6 linked regions of the Mus musculus genome follow. The protein of the gene in region 1 interacts with the protein of each later gene in a biochemical or structural test. Links are inferred from orthologs where the notes say so. Each region holds a gene or a part of one and is shown on either strand. Other genes may lie near its edges. The genes, in order: Map3k7, Ikbkb, Nod2, Trim31, Tab1 and Usp4.

What was found.
Region 2: of the proteins of Map3k7 (region 1) and Ikbkb, one has a biochemical effect on the other in vitro, tested with the Homo sapiens proteins (5 studies listed by BioGRID). The link is inferred for Mus musculus from reciprocal best matches to the Homo sapiens genes MAP3K7 and IKBKB.
Region 3: the proteins of Map3k7 (region 1) and Nod2 form a complex in vitro, tested with the Homo sapiens proteins (2 studies listed by BioGRID). The link is inferred for Mus musculus from reciprocal best matches to the Homo sapiens genes MAP3K7 and NOD2.
Region 4: the proteins of Map3k7 (region 1) and Trim31 form a complex in vitro, tested with the Homo sapiens proteins (2 studies listed by BioGRID, with this or other methods). The link is inferred for Mus musculus from reciprocal best matches to the Homo sapiens genes MAP3K7 and TRIM31.
Region 5: of the proteins of Map3k7 (region 1) and Tab1, one has a biochemical effect on the other in vitro, tested with the Homo sapiens proteins (4 studies listed by BioGRID and IntAct). The link is inferred for Mus musculus from reciprocal best matches to the Homo sapiens genes MAP3K7 and TAB1.
Region 6: of the proteins of Map3k7 (region 1) and Usp4, one has a biochemical effect on the other in vitro, tested with the Homo sapiens proteins (2 studies listed by BioGRID). The link is inferred for Mus musculus from reciprocal best matches to the Homo sapiens genes MAP3K7 and USP4.

Annotation. Positions count from the first base shown.
Region 1 is NC_000070.6:31,974,101-31,977,615, forward strand, and holds part of Map3k7 (mitogen-activated protein kinase kinase kinase 7), read left to right. Parts: intron 1-722; coding exon 723-833; intron 834-3,223; coding exon 3,224-3,289; intron 3,290-3,515. UniProt on the Homo sapiens protein: Serine/threonine kinase which acts as an essential component of the MAP kinase signal transduction pathway. Plays an important role in the cascades of cellular responses evoked by changes in the environment.
Region 2 is NC_000074.6:22,668,571-22,672,085, reverse strand, and holds part of Ikbkb (inhibitor of nuclear factor kappa-B kinase subunit beta), read left to right. Parts: intron 1-340; coding exon 341-455; intron 456-2,355; coding exon 2,356-2,479; intron 2,480-2,989; coding exon 2,990-3,141; intron 3,142-3,340; coding exon 3,341-3,402; intron 3,403-3,515.
Region 3 is NC_000074.6:88,646,167-88,650,150, forward strand, and holds the start of Nod2 (nucleotide-binding oligomerization domain-containing protein 2), read left to right. Parts: upstream 1-1,180; 5' UTR 1,181-1,243; intron 1,244-3,984. UniProt on the Homo sapiens protein: Pattern recognition receptor (PRR) that detects bacterial peptidoglycan fragments and other danger signals and plays an important role in gastrointestinal immunity.
Region 4 is NC_000083.6:36,901,128-36,904,642, forward strand, and holds part of Trim31 (E3 ubiquitin-protein ligase TRIM31), read left to right. Parts: intron 1-521; coding exon 522-752; intron 753-3,515.
Region 5 is NC_000081.6:80,159,677-80,162,222, forward strand, and holds the end of Tab1 (TGF-beta-activated kinase 1 and MAP3K7-binding protein 1), read left to right. Parts: intron 1-397; coding exon 398-605; 3' UTR 606-2,031; downstream 2,032-2,546. UniProt on the Homo sapiens protein: Key adapter protein that plays an essential role in JNK and NF-kappa-B activation and proinflammatory cytokines production in response to stimulation with TLRs and cytokines.
Region 6 is NC_000075.6:108,354,321-108,357,835, forward strand, and holds part of Usp4 (ubiquitin carboxyl-terminal hydrolase 4), read left to right. Parts: intron 1-2,090; coding exon 2,091-2,221; intron 2,222-3,515.

The sequences.
Region 1 (3,515 bases):
GGCATATGGTTGGTCTGTATTTTTATAACTTTTTAAAAGTAATAAGCTAATTACCTATCATAAAGCTTACCCATGTGAAGTGTGATTTATTGATTTTTGTGAATTTACCCAGTTGTCAGCCATCACAGTCAACTTTCAAACACATCACCACCTTGGCAGGATACCGTTTACATTAATTCCTTTTTGATCCTTATCCCAAGGCAATCACTGACCTGCTTGCTGTCCCTAGATTTCTCCTGGGCATTTTATAAATGGGCATTGTAATATGAGGTATTGGGGTGGGGGTCATTGTGTAGACAGTAACACATTTTGCGTGTCCTTCATAGTGGGCCTTTTATATATATCTTTAGCCCTTTTCCTTCCATTTCTTACCCCCAATTAGAGTTATTTGAAAGCTGATTTTATTTTCTTTAAATAGTATATGTTCTTTTTCATTTTTATTTTTCTGAACCACTTCTCAATCATCTTTACTTTAATTTTCTACTGTGATTAAAAATTGCCTTATGTCTTCATGTATTTTTTGTGTTTCTGCTTTAGAATTAAGAGGTTCATTTCAAAGATTAAAACTGCATTTTATCTTCACTTTAATGAAAAACTCATTCTTAGCAAATTCAGATAATGGTGGTTTCTAAACCTTTGATGAGACTTAAAAACTGCCTCTATCATATTAAACTCTGCTTCTGATTTTTGGGGGTTTTCTATTTGTTTGTTTGTTAACTCAGGTTGTCGGAAGAGGAGCTTTTGGAGTAGTTTGCAAAGCTAAGTGGAGAGCAAAAGATGTCGCTATTAAACAGATAGAAAGTGAGTCTGAGAGGAAGGCTTTCATTGTGGAGGTAAGCTGAGACGTTATTTGTATCCACTAATTCTTCACCAGAGCTACTCTGATCTTAAGACTATAAAACACAGTGTTTCCCACCTTTCTTTTTTCTGTGTACATGGACGTTAGCAGTTGACTGAACTGAAAGTAGTGCCTCCATAGGAATGTTTTTCATTTTTTTGCTTTAAATTCTGGTTAAAAGTTATTAGGGGAAAGTATAGTTACAAGAGTCGCTCCATGAATTCAAGTGCACTTATCCACGGGTTCCAAATGTATCTCAAGGTTTCCTATCTTAATTTTAAAGTGGTATTATTCCTCCCAATACCTAAAGTTAAGAATTTCTTAGAATGTTATAGAAATAAACACCTTTCTAGTGAGAAACTACTCCACACACTTAGACTTATAAGAAAAAGCTCTTGACTGAAAGTGTGGCCAACTGTGGCTAGCACCCAAAGAGGGACCAACCTCAAATAAAAGATTTACTAACTTAATTCACTTTAGGCTTATGCATTCCACAGATTCTGTCATCCTTAAATCTCTTCTAGGTCCTGGCCCCGGGTTACACTTTAAAAAATATAAGTCAGGAGACTGTAAGTCTGGCCACTTACACAGATGAGAGATTTGCATAGTGCCAGAATTATTATTATAACCAGGGTTTTTTCTTTTCAAATGGTTGTTATCTAGGGTCTTCTTGCCCATCTGGCAGAATTATGTTTTTGTCAAGAAGAGAACAGGGGGCTTTATGCAGCCCAGGACTTAACTTTAGCTGTGACCTTGAGCTGCCCCTTACGCAGCCAGTTAGAGGCAAGTTCTTTGGGGGTGGCCAGTGAATCCTGGTGAGCAGACATTTACATGATAACAAAGTAGTTTAGCTCATCACCTTCTGTCTGGTTAGCAGACTACTTAGCTTTGGGGCATTTTGGAGGCAGCAATGCCTTAAAGTTTAGTCTGTGTGGTTGCTGTCTCCTAGAAAAATCTGTTAGTAAGCCCTTTATAACATCAGCTTTATTCGTTTTGAGTTTCTTCTACATAATGGGTTTTATGAAATTAACCATGTTGCTGCTCTTGTTTTCATTGCTTGGTTCTAGGTCTGCTGGGCCAGTTATTACTCATCACTAGCTTGTCAACTTCCAGATGGTATACTATTATCTCATTGCAGTCTCTTCATCCTCCTGAGTTTCTACCTCACAAACAACAACAAAACCTCACCTACTTATGAGACTCAGAGAAAACGGAAAAACATGCTTGAATAATGTGCTATGTGAAGTTAATGATGAGTTTTGTCAAGATGGAATGTTGATAGATAATAAATACATAATAGTAAAAAGTTACATGAAATAACATTTTAGAAAAGAGTCCGCTAATTTTCTAAGGATGAAAAGTCCATGAATATCAACTATAAAGAAAACTGTCCAGTGGCATATGATAAAAAAGAGGTTAAGTTATGGGACTGTGGAGAAAAGCAGGAGAGAGCAGGGGAAAGAGGGGGACGAGGGAGAGAGAAGGAGCAACATGATGTTGTATGAGAAAGACACAGTGCAGAAACTTGATACCTTACACTGGGGACCAGCCTCAGTGTAATTCCTGGCTTGGGGAAGGCTGAGACCGGAAGTTGGAGTGTCAGTCTGTCTCTCCTACCCCTGAAGCTCCTCTCCACTTTTTTGTACTGGGGATTGACTTGGGATATATGGTGGACTGGAGCTAAAGCCTAAGGCGTACTAGTCAAATGCTCCACAACTGAATGCCCCCCCCTTCCACTCACACGCACACGCACACACACACACACACACACACACACACACACACCAAGCTCTCTGCAGTAACTACAAGACAGGAAATGAAATTAGAGGCAACTAACTATTCAGACAGAGCATGTATTTCATGTCAGGTAAACAGAAGCTCAAATCTGACTATAGAATCTTTCACAGCTGCTTTATCCTCTCTGGAGCTTAACCTCAAGGGTCATATTAAAATGGAAGTAATAGGTCCTATCTTTCAGAGTCTGAACGCAGCAGGAATACATACAGAATAAGTAAATTGATACCTGTAGGAAAGTACCACACTTCTGGTGTGGGTGGCTCAGTCAGTACCATAACTGAGATGGTGCCTTGACTTTTGGCAGCTGGTTTCCTCAGTTTATCCTGGCTTGTTCTTAACTCCCATTACAGCACTTTGTGCATGGTTTAATGATCTCTCTGTCTTCATATATTTGATTATGTCTGTGTCCCCACTTGAACTGTAGGATAGGGATTCTACAGGCACTGGGGATTGCCACTGCCTGTGGCCATCGTGGTAACAGAACATACCTGGTATGATTTGAACAAATGTTCTATATAAGATTTGAACAGCACGGGTACATAGCACCTGAAAACCCAGCACTTCTTAAGGACCCATAATTTGTTGCAGCTCCGGCAGTTGTCACGTGTGAACCATCCTAACATTGTCAAGTTGTATGGAGCCTGCCTGAATCCAGTAAGTCCCTCTCCATCTCCTACAGGAAACAGTGGCAAGTGTGTCCGTTTATATGATTTATAAGGCTGTTTTCATCTGTTCCACTGTAGCTTTATTTCTGAAAATATTTTCTGCATTTCGTTTGCTTCAAGCCCTAACAAGACAGTATGTTGGTGTTGTCATCTCAGGTACCTATTAGCCTTGGCCACACCAACTTATAGTGCTCCTTTATCTTGAGTAAACATTT
Region 2 (3,515 bases), on another chromosome or scaffold:
AATCATGTTTTGCTCTTCTAGTCAGGCACCTGTGCTAAGGCCATCGATGTGTGACATGGTGTCTGCCCCAAGGTGTGGAGTAGTTATGGAGGCTACAGCCTCTGCACAGGGAAGTGTGATGTGTTCAGGTCACAGGAGAAGCAAGCAGAGTAAACTAGAACATGATGTAAGGCAGGGGCAGGTTCAGATAAAAAGGGTAGGAGAGAAAGCAGGCTGAGTCACGCGTGCTTCTTAGGCTACGATGCTGCCCTCCACGTGCAAGTGGAACTGCTTTAAGACCAAGTAGCCGGAAAGGAAGGGTGGGATCCCCAGGTCTCATTGTTTTCTTGTCCCTCTGCAGACAAACGAGGGCCTCACGTTGGACATGGATCTTGTTTTTCTCTTTGACAACAGTAAAATCAACTATGAGACTCAGATCACCCCCCGACCCCAACCGGAAAGTGTCAGCTGTATCCGTAAGTGCATCATTTATTAAAACCCATCAGTTGCGATATTTAGGGTAAAGTTGGAGGAGCTCCTGGTTGTTTGGTTCTGAGTATATAAAGCCTCCTTTACTTGGAATGTGCAGAGAATAGTCCAGGCAAAGTACTGGTTAACTGCCTCTCACTAGAGGTAGGCACAGGGTTAAGAAATACCACCTACTTCTGTGGTTCATTTTTGAGGTTGCATTTATATTTCAATAACTAATGTGCATTGGAGGGTAAAAGCAAGAGGGGTCAGGAGCTCAGCCACATAGGATGTTCGAGACCAGCCTGGGCTACATGAGGCTCTGCTTATAAACAAGAATGACATTAACATAGGTACATGATACAAAAACAACACAAAGCCTCAAAAGATACCCAAAAAAGAATACATAAGGCAAAGTGAACACTCGGGCTCTAGTCCCCAGCCAGGAGGCTTGCCTTCTGTAGAACTACTGCTTCCAAGTGCTTGGGTATCCCCCTCAAAGAGACCACGATGACACAGACATGCACTGTTCTGTGTGTCCCTCCTCACCCAAGTCGCTCATTTCCTCTCCCTCATGTTGGAGGGCTGCATGGTGCTCCACTGCATGTTTGTTTGGTGAACATCTTACTAACCTAGCCCCGTTCTCAGCCCCCTTTCTCTCAGATACATACTTGGAGTAAACAGACCAAAGAGCTAATGTCTCCGAGATCTCCCAGGCTTCTTGATGATTTAAATATCTCTAGTATTTCTGGTTTCAGGCTTCATGTTAAAGTACTTGCTTAATTAACTTATTTGTCACCGTTGAGGGCCGTATGTGACACACTAGAGGTGTGCACATATAGAGGTCAGAGGACAACTTTGGAATAAGTTCTCTCCTCCCACTTTCATCCACATAGTCCCAAGGACGGAACTCTGGTCTCACCCACTGAGCCATCCCATATACTTTCATATTTCAGGAAAACTCCATACAACTGGTACTGGGCTTCTGGCTACATCATGGGTTCTCCTTTCTTCGACCCTTTTCCTGCCCTCTTCTACCCTTCCAAAGCCCTGACACTGAGTAGGAAAGAAAAAAGGAGAGAAGGACAGAGGGCAATGCCATTGTTAGACTACTTCCTGGTGGTTAGCAGTGTCGATTTCCTTGGGACAAGTTTGATCTTCCCTGACAGGATGTTTAATTTCTTCTTTTTGTCTTTTTGCACATGACAACTTGACAAACCTCAACCAACCACCAACCACCAACCAGCCAATCAGCCAACAGCTTCCCTCCTCCCCCAATTGGGGCTTTAGCATTTATATATATCCTCTGAAAAGTCCCCCTAATTCCAAATCTCACACACTCAAAACAAAACAAAACTATGTGCAGCTGGCAGAAGTCACACCCCTGCTAGATCATGAGGCAAATCATAGTCAGCTGCTGTGGACAGTCGGAAGCAGCCTGGCATCCCACACCTGGGATTAAAACAAAAACATTCTTATGTTTCTGTATTTAAAAAAAAAACAACAAAAACAAAAACAAAAAAAACCCCGAATTCTCACTATATACAACTTTAACTGTGCTGACAGTGAGAGCGTCTGTTGACAATCTATGGCGCGTGTGCTTGTGGTTCTTTCTCCACGTTGTCCCCAGCACAGGCTGACTTTGAACAGCAGACCTCCTGGCTCAGCCACCCGAGTGCTGGGATTACAGGTGCGCATGCATCACCATCAAATCACGTGGGAGCTTTCCGTTGGCCATCCCTTCTGCTAATGGAGCACCGAGTTGTTTAAACTAATAACAAACAACAACACCTGTAAAATGATGTAGCAGTATAGCAGTTATATAACTTGTAAAAATCGCGGCAATGCTGTAGGGCGGGATGTGGTTCCCTGCAGCTGCGTTCCCCTCTGACAACTGTTTGTTTCCAGTTCAGGAGCCCAAGCGGAACCTCTCCTTCTTCCAGCTGAGGAAAGTGTGGGGCCAAGTCTGGCACAGCATCCAGACGCTGAAGGAAGACTGTAACCGGCTGCAGCAGGGACAGCGAGCAGCCATGTACTGCGCCAGGCTGGCTTTACCTAATACGTTTTAAATTGCTTGTTGGCCTGAGAGGTGGCTGAGGCAGGGATCCAGAAGCAACTCTTAGGGGCTCTGGTTTGGACGACAGGGTGTGGTTGGGTGGCCTGGCTGGAGGGAGGCCCTCGGGCTGGCTAAGGCCAGGGCTTAGAGAATGGGGCAGGAGTGCAGAACTTGGGTCTGGGAGGCTCAGCTGCGTGGCACGTGGAGCTTGGAGAAGCTCAGTGAGCCTTGGGTTAACAATGGTGGTTAACTGGAGCTTGCCGACGGATTCTCCAATTAGGACGAAAGCCTAGGTGTAGAGTTTCACCTAGTTCCAACATTGATAGAGACCGTCATGGGTTTCTAGGAAGCTGCTTTGGTCACAGCGGTGGCTACAAGCGACGAGCCGAGGCTCCCTTGGCAAAGCGTTTTGTTACTACACAGGAAGTGTACTCAGATGCCGAATGTGTCCCAAGGCTCCATTCCTGTGTCTTCCCGTCCTTGCAGGATGAGTCTCCTCCGGAATAACAGCTGCCTCTCTAAGATGAAGAACGCCATGGCCTCCACGGCCCAGCAGCTCAAGGCCAAGCTGGACTTCTTCAAAACCAGCATCCAGATCGACCTGGAGAAGTATAAAGAGCAGACCGAGTTTGGGATCAGTGAGTGCGCTCTGCCTGCTGTGAGCCGGAAGCCGCTTCTCTCCGGTCTCTTTCTTTCTGAAGTTTCTTTGCCTTCTCTCTCTTTTTTTTCTCCCCACCCCCTTCTTTGTCCTCTTATGGTTCAGTTTTTAACTTCTGTTTGAGTTTTATGATGTTTCTGGTTTTCATTTTTTTTTCTTCTTTCTGTTTTTTCTTCCAGCCTCAGATAAATTGCTGCTGGCTTGGCGGGAGATGGAGCAGGCTGTGGAGCAGTGTGGGCGGGTAGGAGACTCACCCCAGGGCTCTGTGTTTCTGGCTGTGGCCGGAACTTGGCGCTACCATCTTCCACTCCCTTATCCAATACTGGCTTGAGCTGCTGTGTCAAACTGAGCATT
Region 3 (3,984 bases), on another chromosome or scaffold:
TAGCGCACAGTCTTTGGTGCCTGAGGCCTGGGACACATCACGGTGTTGACAGGCTAGTGAATTTTTTTGTGCTTCAGTTTCTTCATCCGTAAGCCTGGGACAAGAGGAGTGCCCTACAGGTGGGGTTAAGAGACTTACTGAGAGCAGAGGCCAGCACAATACTAAGTGTCAGTTTCAGAAGGAACTCCCCAGACAGAAGGCTAAAGGGAGTATCTATTAGCATACCAAAGCACCAAAGCCTGTGGTGGCCTCCAGGCTCCCTCATAACCTGTAGCTCTCCATAGTTCTTACCCTACATCCCAACTCTAAGCTTCTCCAGCTTGTGGGCTTCCCTCCCCCAACTTCTCATTCCCATAAAACCCTGCCATTTGGCTGTGCTCTCTCTTGGCTCTCTCTCTCTCTCTCTCTCTCTCTCTCTCTCTCTTCTCCCTCTCCCCACCCCACATTGGTTGTCTCTTTCTCTTCCTCTCATGGTCATGTCCCCGCTGACCATGTTCAAGCTGCTATTTTCCCTGCTCTGGACTCTTCCAGATGCCTCCGGCTGTACCCTTCCTCATATCTACAATACAAATCTTCGGAACCTCAACCATACCTTGGAAGTGGTTTATACACAATTTCATGTCTGGGTCAATTATTCTCTCCTCTCCCTTTCTCTCTCAAATGAGAGTTCATGTACAAGTCTTTTTAGAAGTAACATTAAGAATGGGAACTAAACAACGCTGGCGAATTCCGATTAGGATGGTGGCAGAGCCCAGCCTAGGAGGCTACGTTGGAGGCAAGTGCTATTACACTTAGACCTCTTTCCTCAGCTTGCATGGGACTGACAACCAAGGGGAAAAGAGGAACTTTAAATGCCCTAACACCACCCAGCACGGCCTTCTGGGAATGCCTCCATTAAGACTGTAGCTGACTAAGGGCTTACAAATCCCTGAGAGGGTGCATCGGCTCCTACTGACACTGAGGGCTTTCCTAGCTCTTGTTCCCAGGACTCTGGTTCCCTTGTGATTGAAACCGGTCCCCAAGGGCAGAACACAAAGCACTGCAGGCAGGCCTGTTCCCGGATACCTGTCTCACCAGTCCCTAGAGGGAAATCAGGAGGGGTGTGGCCGCCCTTCCCAGCCTGCCAGAGTGGGCGGGGTCTCTGGCTAGGTGGGTGGGGCGATGGGCGGGAGTAGATCACTGAGGGAGTCCTAGTGTGGAGTCACCGCAAAACTGGCGAGGGATCCCCACGCTGCAGCTGGCGGTGAGTGCTTGCTTTCTGGTTCTGTGGTCTGCGGGTGATCGGGGTGGGTGGATATGTGGAAAGGAGGGTTTTCTCGCGGGGAGACCGAGGACTCCCGGGCAACAGCGCTTGGTTTTGTGGAGATCACGACCGTCACAAGTCCCATCGCGGGGACGCTGTTAACTGGCTCTGGAGCTGGCCTGGCTGAGCTCCTGAAAGGGACTCTGTTTCTCCTGGAAGCATCGACGGAGTAGATAGGCTGTAAAAGGAAAGGGATGTCTCGAGGGGAGCCACGGCAGGCTTTGGTAACTGAGAAGGAATAGGGTATTGGGACCAAATTGAAGCCCCCAGGATCCTTTGAAGTCTGAGGCGAGGCTGTGATTTGGAGGTGGCTGGGACAACGGAGGGGAAACTTGCAGGTGAGGTCCTTACCCAGAGGGAGAAAACCCTGCTTTGGGTCTTAGCAGGAACTATTCCTGGTTCAGTTCCCCCCACCCCCTTCTCTCTAACTTCTGTGTCTTTTTCAGAACCTGCAGGGTCCTGGCCTGGGGCAGGGACATTGGCTTTTCTGTATGTAATCTCACCCACGGTTGATACCCTGCAGGGGAAATGCCCCCTCCCTCATCTCTGCCCTCCTGAAGACCAAAGAGTCAGCCCCATTGGCTCTGGTCTGCTCAGTCTGTTGTGAGGCCTTTGGGGCTCCCAGTTTCTTGGCCACTTAATGCCAGTTGGCCTCCACATGCAGCTCCAAGCTGGCACTGGCTCCATCTTGTCCCCTCTCTCCCACCCAGGTCAGCATTGTAGGGTGGCCCAGTGAGCAGACGCTTACTGCTAACAAAGTGGCTTCTATAGCTGTTTGGCCAAAGTCTGTGCCTTGCAACTCTCTGGTTCCACAGCCACCCCCGCCCCCACGCTGTGTGGAACAAACACATCCTCAGCCCATGCAGACCCCATCTGTACACTGGGTGATGCACAGGGATATGGTGAATACATCATGCTAACACATGCCATCTCAGAGGATAGGAAGTACTGTGGGGAGAAAAAGCTGGGACAGGGCTTAGGGGCTACAGTTTTGCATAGCATAGGAAGGCACCTCTGAGAGAGTCACCACTGAGCAAAGTCTTAAGGAGGGGATTGGCAAGTCATGTGACTATCTAGGGGGAGCTAGAGAAAGCCCCCACTGTGTGTGTGTGTGTGTGTGTGTGTGTGTGTGTAGGTAGGGAGGGAGGAGCTTATAGAAGCATGACAGACCAGAGCAGGGTGTAAATGGAGGGATGAATTGGAGGGCTGGGGGTGGATGGTGGGTGGCAAGGAGGAAAGGGGTGGCATCTGAGGTCTCTTGTATTGGGCTTGAGTTCGCCATAAAAGCTTTTGGCTTTCGCTTTGACTCTGATGGGAGCCATGAACAGATAAGGCTCCTGCTCTGACTTAAGGTTTGGCAGGGTTCATCAAGTTGTGAGGCTGAGACTGCCTATGGAGGTTCATGGCAGATGAGGGAAACATGAAGGGAGGCTATAGAGCTTACATCATGGCATAGAGAGAACCTGTGGCTTTCAGATTTGGAGTCTGTTGGAGGTTGGATGGATAGTCTGTGATGCTGGAGAGAGGCAGCGTCAAGCATGACTCTGAGAGTTCGGGGCTGCCTTCGTCTGCGAGGGGAGCTGATAGGAGGGAGAGCCGGTGATTGATTTTGTATTTGTCTTTTGGAGATGTTGGTAGGTACCACATGATGTTGAATAGTGTCCAGTAACATTTCAGTCATCGTTATCTCACAGTTGGGAATTGGGCCTGTGGGCAGAGACGCATCAGTGATTTGTACTTGGGGGTGGGGTGGGGGACTAGGAATCAGCCTTGGAGGCAGAATGGATAGAAAGAGCAGCTGGGAAGCAGGGAAGAATATCAGTGAAACCCTTCATGACTTCCAGAGAAGTGCTCCAGGGAGGAAGGTGACAGAAAGAAAGGCAGAGAACAGAACAAGTGGAAATCATGGTTTGTATTCTCTCTGGTAGTGGGTGTGGGAGGGGATGAAGGAGATGGGGTGGATTTGGGAATGGCAGTTCAGGTCCAGACAAGGGAGGGCAGAAATGAAGGATGAATTGATCTGTTTGTTCTCTGATGGGAACTGGTTTCCTGGGGAGCAACTCAGACATGGGGCAGGAGAGGAGTTAGTTAGTGCTCCAGGGAGATCTTAGCCAGTCAGGACTAGGACAGCTCAGGGCTGCATTCTGCTCTCCTCTTGCTGCCTTCCTTTCTCTCCCGTCTGCTGGAGGCCTGGGGGCACTGCAAAGGGATTTCAGCCCTTGAACAAAGTCCTCAGCTAGGAACTTCAGGAACACCAGGCTACCTATGATCCTGGATAGGAAGGAAGTGCCAAGAAACAGACATGGGCCTTTGTTGATACCCTTGACCCTCTGTTTCAGAAAGGAAGTGACCCCCTTTGTTTGGGTTGCACCTTGCAGAGCCTAAGAGTGACTCCAATGTGGCACTAGCCTGGTAGAGAAGGCAAGGATGACAAAGCAGTGTGTTTAGCCTGGGGAGAGCAAGTCTGACAAGGGAGGAAGGTACAAGAACGAGATTCTGGGACTAACTAATAAAGAACTTCTTCAGCCTGTCAGGAGGACAGCTTCAAGCCCAGGTCTTCTTTTCCAGCTCTTTGGGATGAGATAGGGAGTTGGCCTTCTTAGAGGCAGAGGGCTGGCAGAATTGGTCTTTGGGGATATGTCTTGCCTTGTGTCTGCAGGAGACTGGCAAGATGGGAATTT
Region 4 (3,515 bases), on another chromosome or scaffold:
ATGCCAAGCAACCACTCCATCAACTGAACTCCACCCTTACCCTGGGTTTTCAATGGTCATATTGTCTGTCTTTTGTGGAGATGGTGGCTCAAGTAGTTGAGCCTGGTCTTAACCTCCTGAAGTGCTGAGATTGCCTACTTGTGCACCAGCACATCTGGCTGGTGGCCTTAAGGCAAATGAAAGCATGCCATCTGGCCTAAATCTGTAAATACTTTGCTTCCCCTTTCCAACAGGTATGCCCAGAAGCTCTTCTGAATTGGTCTCAGTGTAATCTTTAAATACTCTTAAAGCATGAGTGGTGCCAGGTGGTGGTGCACGCCCTTAATTCCAGCACTTAGGAGGCAAAGGCAGGTGGAAATCAGGGCTATCCTGTTGTACTTAACGAGTTCTGGGCTATCTAGGGCTTTATAGTGAGACTCTGCCTAGAAAGAAAAAGAAGGATGGGAATTATGAATTTAAAGGAGGCTTGGAGGACCCTTCTCATGGTCATCTCATATCTGCATCCTCTCCTTCGTCCCCAGGCCCAGGTGGATCTAGAGAAACTAAAGATCCATGAGGAATTCAAGCTCCTGCGCCAGAGACTAGATGAGGAAGAGAGTTTCCTCCTGTCCAGGCTGGACTGGCTGGAGCAGCAGGGAGCCAAGCAGTTGAGACAATATGTCACTGTGACAGAGAAGCAGCTGAACTCTCTAAGGAAGCTCACTAAATCCTTGAAAATAAGGCTGCAATCATCATCCATGGAGCTACTAAAGGTGAGTCCTATGTGAATAAATAGATTCTCTCCTCTCTCTATTTCTCTATTTCTCTCCCTCTCTATTTCTCTCTCTCTCTCTCTCTCTCTCTCTCTCTCTCTCTCTCTCTCTCTCTCTCTCTCACACACACACACACACACACACACACCAGTTTTCTAAAAGACAGTTAAGAATCTGAGTTACATTATGGTCTAACAGCTCCAAATACCTGGCTGCTCAATGCCTTTTGTTACATAAATCTAAATTTTGAAAAAGCCTATGGGCTTCCTGAATTGATATAATAGTCAGATACTTTCCTTTAGAGAAATTTCCCTGACACTCCCTTCAGTGCCATCATCCCAACCATGACCCTTATCTTTCTTACTTTAAGGTATCACATTTGATAAAGCTCCTCACCAGGTTTCAGAGAGTAGCCTCTCCTTCCCCATAAGGCTCCATTCTGTTGTCTCTGACATATTGTGGTATTTCTTTCTATAGCTCTTCCACCCAAGGCCCTTTCTCCTAATAAGTCTCATTTAACAAAAAAAGAAAGAATTTATTTATTTATTTATTATGAATACAAGTATACTGTAGTTGTCTTCAGACACATCCAAAGAGGGCATCAGTTGTGAGCCATGATGTGGTTGCTGGGAACTGAACTCAGGACCTCTGCAAGAGCAGTCAGTGCTCTTAACCTCTGAGCCATCTCTCCAGCCCCTTAAGCCTCATTTTTAAAGTCTGTTTGGGTTTTTTTTTTTTTTTTTTGGTTTTTTCGAGACAGGGTTTCTCTTTATCGCTCTGGCTGTCCTGGAACTCACTTTGTAGACCAAGCTGGCCTCGAACTCAGAAATCCGCCTGCCTCTGCCTCCCGAGTGCTGGGATTAAAGGCGTGCGCCACCACCCCCAGCTTTTTTTTTTTTTTTTTTAATCACATACTTTCCTGAAATAATCCACCAACTGCTGTTCTTCTTCACCTAACCCAGAGGTCCTCAACCTGTGGGTCATGACCCCTTTTGGGGGTTGAACAACCCTTTAACAGGAGTCACAAAAGACCATCAGAAATATCAAATATTTATTTTACAATTCATAACAGTAGCAAATCTACAGTTATGAACTAGCAATGAAAATAATTTATGGTATGGGGTGGGAGTCACCATAACATGAGAACTGTATTAAAGGGTTACAGCATTAGGAAGGTTGAGAACCAAAGCCCCACCTATAACTCAGGGTGCGGAGGTAAGAAGATTGTTGCTAGTCCAAAGCTAGCATGAGCAAAGATCTAGACTGTCTCAAAGAGCTGGGCATGTTATCTGTGGAGGTTTGAATATGTTTGGACCAGGGAATGGTGCTACTAGAAGGTGTGGCTTTGTTGGAGTAGGTGTGTCACTGTAGGTATGGGCTTTGAGACCATCCTCCTAGCTGCCTTAGTCAGTCTTCTCCTAGTAGCCTTCAGATCAAGATGTAGAACTCTCAGCTCCTCCCTTGCCAGGCTTGCCTGGATACTGCCATACTCCTGCCTTGATGATAATGGATGGAACCTCTCAACCTGCAAGTCAGCCCCAATTAAATGTTGTTCTTTATAAAAGTTGCCGTGGTCATGGTGTCTCTTTACAGCAATGGAAACCCTAACTAAGATAATATCTCATACCTGTAATTCTAGCAAATCAGAATTGGGAGGACTTCCCAGAGCACTAGAGTTTAAGGCTAGCCTGGACACACACACACCACCACCATCCCTACCACCACCCCCCACCACCACCACCCCCCCCACACACACACACACATGAAAGAAAGAAGAAAAAGAAAGAGAGTCACACAAAATGTAGAACTTTTTCTTGTTTTTGAGACAGGATCCCCTGCAACCCGGGTGGCCTGGAATGGGTTATTGTTATGTAACCATGGATGACATCATCGAATCTTCCTACTCCCTAATCACGAGCTGAGATTTCAACATGTGCCATTACACCCAGCTCACAGTGTAGAACTATAACCTAGGACACATTTGTTACTTAGAAGTATACCTCAAGGCCAGAGAAATGTCTCATTGTGCAAAGGGACAAACCATCAAACCTGAGGACCCAAGTTCCATACCCAAGACCCACAGGGTGGAGGAACAGGGCCAAACCTCCCAAGGTTTCCTCTGACCTCCACCTGTAACTCCAGCTCCAGCAGGTCCAGATATCTCTGGCCTGCACTCACACACACAAACCCACACATAGACACACATATAAACACAATTTAAAGATTAAAAAAATAAAATATTTAAAAATAATTATTCTTAAAAAATAATAAATCTTAAAATACAAAATACAATAAAAATATATTTCCATCTGTATTTCTAGTAGCTACATTAAAAGGGAAGGGAAAAGACTCATGCATAGTGGCACATCTTTAATGCCAGAACTTGGGAGCCAGAGATAGGCAGTTCTCTGTGAGTTCAAAGTCAGCCTGGTCTACATGTGGAATTCCAGGCCAAGTAGAGCTACTCTGTTTCAAAAGAAAAATCAGATAAAAGTACATGTAATAAAAACATTCTAAACATTTTATTTAACCCAGTATTTCAAATATAATCATTTCAGCCTGCTTAAACATATTAATGAGCTATTTCATATTCTTGAGTGGTTTTTTGGTTCTAAGTCTTTGAATGCTAGTTTGTCTTTTGTACATTTCAATTTAGATGCCAAAGTACCAATTGTGGAGGTAAAATGTAATTAGTTCTACTAAACCAGTAAAGTGGCATTTAACTGAAAGTGTATTTGCAATGCTTTGGTTTTTAAATTTAGG
Region 5 (2,546 bases), on another chromosome or scaffold:
GCTGCTGTTCCTGCCACCACCTCTGTGGATGGAAGGGCCTGGTAGACATCTGGGCATCCTGGGTAGCCGTGTGCTGTCCCCAGCACAATCAGCATAGCCCTCCCTCCCCACCAGGCTTCCCCAGGAAACCAGCAGCTGTGTCCACAAAGCCAAGCAGGCAAGCTTCACGCTTCTCAGCCTGACTGCCCGAGCCTCACAGATCTCCTCCCCTGGCGCTGAGTCTTATTCTGTCACCTAGGTCAGCCTGTCTTTAAAAACATCTCACCCAGCTGACTTCTGTAGGATACTGGGGAGAGAGAGAGAGGCCTGAGCCTAAAGGGCCGCTCTTTTCACCGGTGGGAAGTTGAGGGCCCCTGATGCAGCTCCCCCAGACTGACTGCTCTCTCTTCTTCTGTAGCCAGAGCCCCACTCTGACCCTGCAGTCCACCAACACGCACACCCAGAGCAGCAGCTCCAGCTCTGACGGGGGCCTCTTCCGCTCCAGACCGGCTCACTCACTTCCACCCGGAGAGGATGGCCGTGTGGAGCCCTATGTGGACTTTGCTGAGTTCTACCGACTCTGGAGCGTGGACCACGGCGAGCAGAGCGTGATGACGGCACCTTAGTCTAGCCTCAGAGTGCAGCCTGGGCACAACTTTGTGTAGACACAGAGGGCCAGTGCCAAAGCAAGACAAGCTTCCTGACCTTTGCGGGGGCCATGGAACCCTCGGGCAGTGAGTCATGACGTGCTGCAGGTTCAACCACAGCCCTGGGCTGTGGCCTGAGTACAGACTGCATTGCTGCTGGTCCACACAGGAGGCTGGAGTCCAGACCACAGGCATCCTAAGACAGGGCCAAGCGGGAAAGCTGCAGGTAGCTTACAAACCATCACGAGTGCCTCCTGACACGTTTAAAGACTAGCAAGATGCCGTCCTGTGGACCCCAGCTACCAAAGGCCAGACAGACACTGCTCCCTCAAGACTCCTCCACCTGCTTCAGCTTCCCCCGGAAGAGCTGTGGCCTCTGCGAGTGCCCGTTACCTCTGGGTGGCTATCCCCTTTCCACCTTTCAGCCCAAACTCCTAGATCCAGAGTAGCGAATAACAGGAGTGGGTGCCTGTCACTGGATGTCACTGGAAAAGTCCAGGGAAGCAGAGGGGTTATTAACAGCCACAGAGGAGCAAGACAAGGAAGTACCAGAGAGAGCTGGCCAAGGAATGCTAGTCCTGGGCTGCAGGTCAGCCAGCTGGCAGCTGAGCTAACTCAGAGAGCTGGCTTCCCAATGGGGTGCAGTTAGTAGGCCAGGCCCACCAGGCAGCTGCAGTTCTGCTTCTGCTAGATCCTGCCCTGGGGTGAGGCAGGCCAAGTCAGAAGCCAGTGCCTTCCTCCCAGCGGGTCCTGGGAAGCCAGTGATAGGGGGTGCTGAGGCAACAGACCTCACGCTGATGAGGAGGCTGCTTGGTTCCGGGCTCTGCCGAAAGAGGAGTGGGATACGGCTGTGAGAGGGCCGAGGTTGAGTCTTGCTCACCCAGAAGACCAAGGACATCAGGTGCAGTGATGCGGACGTGCAGGGAAAAGACTCTGCTGGTCAGGCCCTGACTGGGACCTGTTCACACAGAATCTCTCCCTTCAGACAGGAGGGTTACCACAGCTGCCTGCAGTGTGGCCACCCCTGTGCTCAGAGGAGAAAGGCTGGGTGCTCCTCTTACCTGAGCCCTTCCATCAGGATTAAATCTGCAGCCCTTTCCCCACTGTGTGCAGCTACTGGGCAGGGTGCCCAGTGTGGCCTGGTGGCAAAGGCCAATTCAGAGCACTTCTCAGACTCCATTTCCCTAAAGCGAGGCTGCTGGCTCCATGCTGAGGAGAAGCCCTGGGGTGATGGGAAGAAGAAGCCTTCCTGCTCTCCACTAGGAAGTCACCTCTGCCCTGCAGGTGCCCTGCAGGTGAGCAGCTCTCAGCTGGTGCACAAGGACATGGGACAAAGGAGGTCCTCCCCAAGGAATGTGGTGCTGTTTGGTCTCTAGAAATAGAACCATGTTCTTCATGCAGTAAAGATGTCATCTTGTCTATCTGTAACTTAAGCACCCAAAAGGTGGCTGCCTCCTGTTCTGCTCAGGAGGTTTGGGAGCCAGGCTTTCCGGACTGGTAAGTGGCAGTGCTGGGATTTGAACTCAGACCTCCTAGCTGCACACATCACTGCCCTCACCCACTGAACATGTGTTTTGCCACAAGCCTGCTGTCTGAGCTAAAGAAGGCAGTGGTATTCTGTTCTCCAGAGAGTGAGTCCAGGGATGGGGTGGGGTGGTAACTTCATGAGGCTTAGGTCACAGGTCAGGGCCCTTGCCCCTCCCCTGCCTCGCCCCCCCCCCCCAAGCTGGTTGGTTTTATTTGGTTGAAAGATCTCTTTAACATACCTCCTCTTTCTCATCTAAGGCCTTTACTCATCCATCTCTGGATCGCCTGCCTACAGGCTGAAAAGCTGTCTGCTTAGGAACAAAGCTGGGCTCTGTCCTCTATGGTCACTGGGTCCCCCACATCCTCCCCTCTGCTGGGCAGAGGCTCTTAGCA
Region 6 (3,515 bases), on another chromosome or scaffold:
AGTTTTTTAGGTTTTGCTTTGAAGCCTGACGTAGGCTAGGCCGGGTACACGTGAAGTAGGTCAGACTGTAGGTCTACATCAAGCATCTCTGTACTGACTTCAGACCAGAGACAGTCAGAGACAGCGCTTCAGGAGAGTCACCTCCAACCTCCTTGTTCCCAGTCCTCAAACTCCTTCTGTAGCTGACACCCTAGCAGCACCTGGTCCTCCTGTCCCGTCTGCTAGGCACAGGGTTAACAGATGTATACTACCACCATGCCTGTCATCTTCTCCTTTTTTTTTCTTTTTTTTTTTTGGTTTTTCGAGACGGGGTTTCTCTGTGTAGCTCTGGCTGTCCTGGAACTCACTCTGTAGACCAGGCTGGCCGCCAACTCAGAAATCCGCCTGCCTCTGCCTCCCGAGTTCTGGGATTAAAGGCGTGCGCCACCATGCCCGGCTTTTTCTTCTTGAGACAAGATGTTACAATATAGACCTGGCTGGTCTGGAACTCGACAGGGATGCACCAGCCTCTACCTTCTGAGTGCAGGAATCAAGTGTGTGTGCTATCACACCTGGTTTCTATTTAAAAAAAAAAAAAAATCATCTGCCTTGGGTTACAGCTGAGTTGCACCTTCACGGGTACTTTCTTGTCTACACTGGTCTGAGATCAGTGACTTCTGTCATCCTCAGTGTGGGTGTTGATAAACAGGCTTAGCAGGGAGTACACTTTGTGGCTGACAGGTGATGAATCTTGTTGGATTTTCCGCTGAGTGTTTCATATACCTTTGTGATGGGTGTAAAATGCATGTTCAACATGTTACATATTTACTTTCCATTCCACACAGTGTCCATGAGAACTCTTTTTTTTTTTTAAAGGTTATTTGTTTTATGTATATGAGTACACTGAAGCTGTCTTCAGACACACCAGAAGAGGGAATCAAATCCCATTACAGATGGTTGTGAGCCACCATGAGGTTGCTGGGAATTGAACTGAGGGCTGTGGGCATGGTTGCTTGGGAAGAAAATACCCTACCCACCCCCACCCCTCACCCCCCTCCCAGCCCTCAGCACCTCATTCATTTGCCTTCTTAGTAAATGTTTCATGTGTAGATGGGGTCTGAGTTCAAGCACTATCAATAGGATTGCTATTATAAGTATTTATAATTATTAGCCATTGTACTCTCTTCTTCAGGACAGCCAGGGCTACACAGAGAAACCCTGTCTTGAAAAACAAAGCCAAACAAAAACCTATTCTTATTGAACTCAAGTTCATGGATTTGGCAGCAAGTACCTTTACCTGCTGAGCCATCTCCCCGGCTCATTTTCCCTCCAGTCTCCTTCCTGTCATCTCTGCAGTGGAGGCAGGAAGATCAGAAATTAAAGGTCATCTTTGGCTGTGTAGAATTCAAGGTCACGCTGTACTGCATGTGACCCTCAAAACAGACGACAAAAATGAGAAGGGGGCAAGTAGGGCAGGGGATTTGGGAGGGCTTGGGGAAAGGCAAAAAATATGGCTAAAATATAGCTCAATAAATTTTATTTTAGAATTACTTTTTACCCCTATATATCCTTGGCTGTCCTGGAGCTCCTACATAGACCAGGCTGACTCTAAATTCACAAAAATCCACCTACCACTGCCTCCCAAGTCCTCAGATTAAAGGGTGCACCACCATGTTCACCTTCAATACATTTGACTTCAGAAGAAGAAAATGAACAGAGAGGCTCCTTTCCTCTCCATCCTTCCTCCTTGTTCTTTTTGACATGGAGTCTAGCTGTGTTGCCCAAGCTGACCTTGAACTTCGGGGCTTAACCTATTCCTCCTCAGCTTCCTGCGTAGTGGAGACTATGAGGATGAACCACGGACTCCAGCTCACTTTTCTCTCATTATAGAAGAGATACAAGTTCCTCATAGAACAAGACTCAGGATAAAGAGTGGGCAGGTCTGCTTTGTTTTGTAGCCAGTGACAGTGTTTTGGAATATTGTGCTTGTTCCTGTTGAATCTTTTCTTATGAAAAATACATAAGAATCTTGTTTCAAAAAACAAGCAACCAAACAAAAAGAAACTTCTGGGGAAAAGAAAAATGAGATCTGCCCTGATTTCCTTTTTCAGATCCTGAGAGTCAGACCTTGAAGGAGCACTTAATCGATGAGCTGGACTATGTGCTGGTCCCAGCCGAAGCCTGGAATAAATTGCTGAATTGGTATGGCTGTGTGGAGGGCCAGCAGCCTATTGTCAGAAAAGTGAGTTGACAAGTTGTTAGACCTGCTAGGTGTGTATGTGAGTTCTCCTTGGGTACACTGACTTCTCTTTATTTCCCGGGAGGATGAAAACGGTTACATGGTTGAAAATGAAGCAGGTGAGACTTTGTAATGTTTTTGGATTTTGGTTTGTTTTTGTTTTTGAAACAGGGTTTTTCTGAGTATCCCTTACTAGTAAGTAGTTCTGGAACTTTCTATGTAGCCCAAACCAGCCTCAAACTCAGAGATCCCTAAGTACTGAGATTAAAGATGTACCAGGCTTTAGACCTTGTTTATGTTTCCTGAGACAGGATCTCTGTGTATCCCGGGCTGGTCTTGTTCTGGTCATCTCCTGCCTCTTGTATGCTGGAATTTTGGCCTGAATGACTATTCTACTTCTCTCTGGGATATGAAGTATTTGTGAGTAACTCAGGATGTTCCTAAGTGGCCTCCAAATACAAGAGCTGCCTGCTGGTTTGGAATGCCCATAGTACTTGGAACCCAGCTCTTCAGTTGGGCTGTGTGGACATAATCGAATGCATTGCACCTTGCACCGCTTCCTTTTCCCCAGGACTGGGAGTGAACCTAGGGCCGAATAGAATACATGACTCACTGAGTGTCCTAGCACTGAGCTATATCCAGCCCTCTTTTTTTTTTCTTTGAGATGGTGTTGTACTGAGTTAACCAGGCCAAATTTGAACTCACTTATAGCTCAAGTAGGCCTAGAACTTTGACCATTTTGAGCCTTTTCATTGAGGCTCCTGGATGTTGAGATAACTAGTGTGAGCCACCATGCTTACCTAACAACTTCTCTTTTTCTTTTTCTTTTTCTTTTCTTTTCTTTTCTTTTCTTTTCTTTTCTTTTCTTTTCTTTTCTTTTCTTTCTTTCTTTCTTTCTTTCTTTCTTTCTTTCTTTCTTTCTTTTTAGATTTATTTATTTATTAAAGTACACTGTTGTTGTCTTCAGGCACTCCAGAAGAGGGCGGCAGATCTCATTATGGATGGTTGTGAGCCACCATGTGGTTGCTGGGATTTGAATTCAGGACCTCTGGAAGAAGTCAGTGCTCTTAACCACTGAGCCATCTCTCCAGCCCTCTAACAACTTTTCTAAAGCCATTTCCCCTGTGCTCATGAGTCTGATTGTACTGCTGAGTAGTAAAAACGTAGGTGTTTATATGCATAGGAGAACTTCTCAAGTTCTCACACTGAGACACACAGCTTTGTGCCTTTGGTGGACAGAACACATGAGATCACTGCCTTGTCTCTCAGCTACTAGCTTTTCTTACTAGAAAGGAAT